Drosophila melanogaster: one gene and its partner. Each later gene encodes a partner of the first gene's protein in a complex. Each region holds a gene or a part of one and is shown in the gene's direction. Other genes may lie near its edges.

Evidence for each region.
Region 2: CG9662 (region 1) and CG31460 share a complex: the UniProt entries of both Drosophila melanogaster proteins name them as parts of the oligosaccharyltransferase (OST) complex.

Annotation. Positions count from the first base shown.
Region 1 is NT_033779.5:3,375,133-3,378,560, reverse strand, and holds CG9662 (uncharacterized protein), read left to right. Parts: upstream 1-1,823; 5' UTR 1,824-1,941; coding exon 1,942-2,080; intron 2,081-2,140; coding exon 2,141-2,451; 3' UTR 2,452-2,729; downstream 2,730-3,428. Other genes in the region: Ptpa (phosphotyrosyl phosphatase activator), read right to left, coding at 70-405, 491-699, 756-1,379, 1,435-1,462; CG15412 (uncharacterized protein), read left to right, coding at 3,153-3,428. UniProt on the Drosophila melanogaster protein: Subunit of the oligosaccharyl transferase (OST) complex that catalyzes the initial transfer of a defined glycan (Glc(3)Man(9)GlcNAc(2) in eukaryotes) from the lipid carrier dolichol-pyrophosphate to an asparagine residue within an Asn-X-Ser/Thr consensus motif in nascent polypeptide chains, the first step in protein N-glycosylation.
Region 2 is NT_033777.3:8,560,899-8,564,270, forward strand, and holds CG31460 (uncharacterized protein), read left to right. Parts: upstream 1-1,774; 5' UTR 1,775-1,984; coding exon 1,985-1,988; intron 1,989-2,036; exon of another isoform or gene 2,037-2,044; coding exon 2,045-2,466; 3' UTR 2,467-2,547; downstream 2,548-3,372. Other genes in the region: pch2 (pachytene checkpoint 2), read right to left, coding at 1-231, 295-658, 713-774; mRpS18A (mitochondrial ribosomal protein S18A), read right to left, coding at 1,047-1,417, 1,514-1,610; Cenp-C (centromeric protein-C), read left to right, coding at 3,357-3,358. UniProt on the Drosophila melanogaster protein: Subunit of the oligosaccharyl transferase (OST) complex that catalyzes the initial transfer of a defined glycan (Glc(3)Man(9)GlcNAc(2) in eukaryotes) from the lipid carrier dolichol-pyrophosphate to an asparagine residue within an Asn-X-Ser/Thr consensus motif in nascent polypeptide chains, the first step in protein N-glycosylation.

The DNA of each region.
Region 1 (3,428 bases):
TTGGCCAACGCTATTAATAAGAATTTTTAACACAGGTTACACCATCGCCATTTTCCTCCATTCTGTAGTCTATTCCTTGCTGGGCTTATCCCCAGATCCCTCGGCGGCCGCCACCAGAGAAGACGACGATGTGGATGGACGTAGTACCACGCTGTTGTCGCTGCTCTCACTGCTCGAGTCGCCCACATTCTGTTCGATGCTAAGAGATTCGGCGGGCGGAGGAGGAGCAGTGGCAACAGGAACTGGTGGCACCAAGTTTGGAGTCCCGATGCAGATGCGTTTGGATGGCGGCGGAGCCACATGACCCAGTCGTGCGTTGGACAGAGTTGTGCCAGAGGAGACGGGCTCGAATGTCATCAGTTCTCCGAAGTAGACGTGCTGGATCACGGGAAACTTGGAGAGAATCTGTGGATAGTTTATAGTAGTTTCTGAGTACTAGGTATTCAATTAAAGCTACTTTATATTAGTCATATTACTGACTAAAGATTACCTCCTTTTGGTACATCTTAACTAGTCCCGCGTTGATCTTGGCCCATGTTGGCACATCCGTGATGCTCCACAGCTGGTTAGAGTGCTCGCCAAAGTGTCCAGTCTTGACCTTGCAGATGTAGTCGATGCAACTGATGAACATGAAGTGATCCTTGTACTCGGTGATTATCGCCTCGTCCACGAACTTCGAGGGATCAAAGGGACTCTTAACTGAAAGGAATCGTTTCAGAAAGGAAATCTTGGAGGAATCCTTCTTAATTGTTTACCCGCCAGCTGTGCACTGCCCCAGATGAAGGGCACGAACTGGAAATCGTCCAGCGACCAGACTCCTTGGCTCCCAGCGGGTTCCATGTTGTATGTTCGCTGCAGCTGCCTGGCGAGCTCAAGGTACCGATTGAAGAGTCTCAGCGCAGCACTCACGATGTCCCTTTCCTGCAGGATCTCCGCCTTGAACAGGGAGCACAGGAAGAAGAGGAAGGACAGCTCGTGGCCGGTGCCGTAGTCGATCCTGGTGGCATTGCCGAAAGATTCAGTGAGATACTGCCCCAGCTCCACCTGGTATCGCTTCTTGTCGTCTGGCAACAGCTGTTCTAGGAGTTCGGGCAACAATTCCCGCATTGCCTGCGCCCAATCCCTGTAGGCTTTGTTTCCGAACCGCTGCGGCTGCTCCAATGGAGGATTTTGCTCTACCAATTTCTCCAGTGCATCGAATAGCCGCAGCAGCTTCTTGAGCATTTCCGACTCGAAAATCTCGTCTGTGGTTTTAATGCCCTGAATGGCCGAACTGGTGCCATTTATATATCCAATTAAATCGTGGAAGGCGCGGGATTTTTGCCAAACGCCCATATCGCCGAGATTTTGCACCTTCTTCGCAATTGCCGGCAGTTTACCTGCAAATGGAGTGGTTAACTAAGCTACGAATCTTCAGAAATTCACTCAGCCCACCTGCTGCTTGGTTAATGCCACTCGCCATTATAGTTGTTTCGTTATTTAACTTCAATTTAAAGCTATTTTGATCGGGAGTTACGTTTTGTTTGTTATTTTGGGGGCATCTTCCTCTTTTTCTACGCGAGCGCAATAGTGACATCACTAAGTATGACCAAATATAAAGGCTGTTCACGCTGCGCAGCTGAAGCACATTAGTATCAATAAGCCAATCGTTTGATGTTACATATAATATATTTTGAGTCTTATAAAAAAATTCAAATCGATTAGGCAGTTTAAAACTTAAGACATTAACAGTACAATGACATGGCTTACGATGCAGCTGCAAGCATAGATGCTGTCTAGTGGAAATACACCAATGCAGGGGGAGTATCGTACAAGTGTCCATCCCTATTCGATAGATAACAACAAACTCCGCCTACGCCGGCAAAATTCAGCGACACCGCCACGAAAATTGAAAAATCCGTGATATATTTAAATTTATAGTTATTAAATTATTAGTTCATCATGATCGAGACACTGTATAACCTGCCCTTCCACATCCTGGTGCCGCCGAACATCAAGGTGCGCAGATTCAGCATTCCAATGCCGTCACCGATGGCCGTTTTCAGTGTGATTTTGTTTTCCTATTTTCTGGTGACAGGCGGTGAGTCCTAAGCTTTCTATAATTGAGATTGGTTAAACAGAGATGCAAATTGGCCCGCAGGTATCATATATGACGTGATTGTGGAGCCGCCCAGTCTGGGAGCCACGGTGGATGAGCACGGACACTCGCGTCCAGTGGCCTTTATGCCCTACCGTGTGAATGGGCAGTACATCATGGAGGGCCTGGCCAGCAGCTTCCTGTTCACCGTCGGCGGACTGGGATTCATTATCATGGACCAAACGCACACGCCGGGCAAGACGAACCTCAACCGCCTGCTGCTGACCGCCATGGGATTCATTTTCATCCTGGTCTCCTTCTTCACCACCTGGCTGTTCATGCGCATGAAGCTGCCCAGCTACCTGCAGCCCTAGAATCTCTACTGAAAAACGCTCTCTTAGTACTCTCCCACATTCGAATATCTGTAAACCGAACTGCATTCGCCAGAAATTCTAGTTTAAAAGGCTTAAAGCTGCGGAATACCAAACAAAAACTTTGATTTCGTTTTAAAATTTTGTGTAATAGTTGTAATATTGTTTAAACAGCAGAATAACTGGCTGGCTTTCATCCGAATCAGTTAAGTAAACTATAGAATGTCTCTATTCCGATGCTGTCGAATAAATAATGCAATTGTAAAGCGACTCAAAATAACAATGAAACGAGTTAAGCATTGTTTTTTTTTGGTCGCTCAAGTGGCTCGCCGAATTGAGAATGTGGAACCGAGGAAACCAAACATTTTGGCGTCCCATGGCTCTCAGTTTGCATCGTGCTGTTGGATCGAGCAGTTCACTAGTTCGTCGGCAGAAACCGATTCCTTCGCCTATATAATTTTAGAATCTATTTTTACCCCTAAATATAAGGTACACGCATGTGTAGAAGTGCGCCATTAGCTGATATTGGGCAAATAGTTACCGAGGAACGTTAGAAATACTCTAAGGGAGCAGGAAAACAACCAGCATTGCGCCTGCTACCAAGTGATGTAACCACGAGCAAAACAATTCCTCTAGTGCGCTCATCTCCCAGCGGCTTCTGCGTCGTATTTTGTTTACCTCTGGGCCGAAACCATAACAGAGACATGTCGAAAAAGTGCTCCGTGCGATCGCTGAGCGACAGCGCCTTGGCGGAGCTGGCCAATCTCTTGGTGTCCACCATCAGCTACGCGCAGTATGCCCCGGACGTGCAGCTGGACATTAACATCGTCATGGTGGAACTGAACGAGTATCTGGCCCAGCTGGGAGCAACCCCCAATATATACCAGGATCTGCTCAGGGTGATCCTCAGCTCGGACTATCTGGACGCCAACATGCGGTTCACCTGCCTGCAGATGCTGCTCAACTGTGGCGTTACTTTC
Region 2 (3,372 bases), on another chromosome or scaffold:
GCTCTCAGAGAACCACTTCGAGAACAGGCTGTGGCTGTTTATCTCCACCAGGTGCGTGTAAGCATAGCTGCCTTGGGTACGGATAGACAACTTCTGGGCCAGGGCCTTGCAAAGGCTCGTCTTTCCTGTTCCAGGTGGTCCGTGGAGCAGTATCAGTCGGTTACAGGCAATCACATTCGTGTCCACACGGTGTTCAGAGAACATCAGTGCCGAAAGAGCAAACTTTAGAAGCTGGAAAAAAATGATTTCCTTTATAAAACCATAAATAAAAACTATGCATACTCCCCGTCTCACCTTTTCCTTGAGTCCTGTCTCGTAGATGAGGTTCTCCCACAGACCCACAAACTGAGCGGCTGGCAGGAGCGCATGACTGGCCGCCACGATGCTATCGATGCCATCCGAGCCTTCTTCGCCCGAAAACAGACCAAGTTGCCCTTCCTCTGGCCTAGTGGCATAGAAATGGAAGCGAAATTTGGTCTCGGCGACCTTTAGAGGCTGCACACCGCCATTGTCGCGCTCCAGGAGAACAGAGTGCACATGTTCAGTTTGCTCAGCTGTGAGATCCGGCAGGAATGACACATTTCTGGGCAATTTTCTAGCCGTCTGAAAATAGGCCTTTAGGGCTGTCTCCACATTGTTGCGAATTGCATTAGAGCGACTGAAAAAATGGATAATTAACTGAAAATCCCAACTGAGGACGGATGCTACTCACAGATCGTTACCTCGCAGGCAAACTTCCACATGAACTGTGTCGCTGTTGCTTAAAAAACTCATTTTAATGCAGGAGAAGCTTTGAAAAGCCGCGGGAACAAAGAAATTATAAAAAGCGACGCCGGCGTAGAGTGACCAAACTTCTCAAGGAAAAAATACGGCGCAAAAAAATAATTGCAAGTAGTAATATTAAAATTAAGAGTATTTTTTATATATCTAAAAAGGCGGTAGTTCAATAGGAAAATAAAATAAATATGCATTTCGTTCCAAGATAATTTAAAAGCAAACATAACCACAATCATATTTTCTATTAACAACATTTATTGTATTTAACACTAGTATTTAATTGTGGACTCCAGGAAGTACTTGTTGAACTTGCGCCAGCCGAAGCGCTTCTTGGGATCTCTTTTACTCCACTCGGGCGCCAGATTTGGCATCAGTCCCGCCTTCTGAGCCATGGTTACCAGAGTGCCCATCTTCTTTTGTTGCCGGTGGCAAAGTCCGGTGATCCTTCTGGGCAGCATACAGCCGTCGGAACGGACATACTGCGACAGGATTAGCACATCCGTGTGCTTGATGTCCAGGCCCAAGGTGCATTCCGGGCAAAACTTGGTCTGGCAGGCGGATTTAAGCATCAGGTGAGCACGCGGCGATTCCACATTAACGCCCTCGAAGATCTTTACACTGTTCTCCTGCTTCTCATGAACTGGAACAGGCATTGAACAGAAATTCGAATTAATTTTAAAGATGTGCATTTATTTGAGGGGTTATGAAACACTTCACAGAGGTCTCTGTAACTCACTCTCTTTTATTTGCCTTGGCATTGTGGTGGCTACGCCACGCACCTGAGCAATGGTACTTCGTACTGTCCTGGTGGCCAATTGCAACACAAAGGACATGTTGAAGGCGTTTTTTATTTACAATTTATTAAAATTGTGCTCAAGTGTAATGTTGTTACTACAAATGTCATTCACCACGAAAGCCGCAGCGTTGCCACATCAATTGATTTAAATATTACTTCTCAAAAAAAATTATCGATGTCAGTATTTAAATAACGATATCTGTTTTTATTTTTATTGCAAGCACAAATTTGTCATTCGAGAATTTTTCATGTAAATACGTAAAAAAAATAGAGAAAAATGCCTGCCTAACGAATAAAACTTTGTTTAGTCGTTACATACTGGAATATCCCTTGTATTATCAAATATCAGTTTCGATAGTTCGATAATTCACTACACGTATAAGAAAGACGCCGGCTGGAAGAAAAAGTAATATGTGTAAGCAAATGCAAGGAAATTACGGCCAACAAAAACTAAACTCTGAACCTTTGCAGCCGCTTCAGTGAGCAGTAAGAGCACCGTGGTATCCTCCATCATCTCGGGCCTCCTGAGCATTGTTTTGTTCGGCACACTGCGTTTCTGCTCAGAATGGTTTAACGACTCGCAGCTGAGGGTCCTTTTGGGCGGATACCTCTTCTCCTGGGTGTTCATCCTGAGCCTCACGTGCGTCTCCAACGCGGAGATGGTTGTTTTCGGCCAGGACTTCCAGGCCAAGCTGCTACCAGAGATTATTTTCTGTCTCTCACTCACGGTGGCCGCCGCGGGACTCGTGCATCGTGTCTGCGCCACCACCAGTGTTCTCTTTTCCCTGGTGGGGCTCTACTTCCTTAACAGGATCTCCACGAAGTATTACTCCGTTCAGGTGCCCAGCGTGGATGCTCCTACGACGAGAAAGGGCGGAAAGAAGTTCAAATGAACCATTCGTCTGCTTCTTATTTCATTACTAACACATTCGAATACCTAATCTTTAATAACCTTTAATAAATAACTAACTTATAAAGTCATGTCAATCGGTCACTTTGAAGCTATCCAAGCTCCATTATTACAGTTGGCCAGCCTTATACTACTGAGTATTGGTGCTGTGGAATAGGGGATCTTATTGGGAATTCATGAATTCAGTTAAAAAACTCCAATCTCTGGTTATATGGATATCGTAATCCTTTTCCAACAGAATCAAAACCTCGAACGCAAAGTCGTTTTCACAGCGTCTCTATTGCATGCCTTCTCGCAGAAAATGTATAGCTCCACTTTTTGGTTGCTTTTCAAAGCTGCTTCCAGTTGTTATAAAGTGAATTCGAACAAATAGATCAATCTGAAAAGTCGGTTTAGTTTGCTTTAAACATTTTGGATTTGTTTTGTCAACAAAAATTGCCGGCAAAGTGTGACCAGCTTGCGTTTTACGCGTTTAGTATATTTTAGTAATGAAATACTGCATATAATGGTTGCCTGCTGGTCAACGCTTTCGAGTATATTTTCAATAAAAACTTTTGAAATAAACTCAGCTGTATTTAACAATAACTGTTTAAAAACGATTGCATCATGCATTTGTAATTATACAGGGTGATGTCTTATTATTATCAAAGAAACTTTTAGATATTTATAGCTCTTTTCTGATAGTCTATTCGAGCGCTCTGGCAACACCCCACCTAGGCGCGCCTACAGACGTTACTGGCAACGCCAAATGAATAGCGTCGCGTCTTTTTTGTAGTTTAAAATTTTGTGGAGTTTTAGCGAAATAAGTTAAGTTTATTGTTGTCGTGTATGTAACTTCGTGAAGAATCCTTTTTTCAAGTTTCAATTGCAAATATGTAAGTTGCCACCG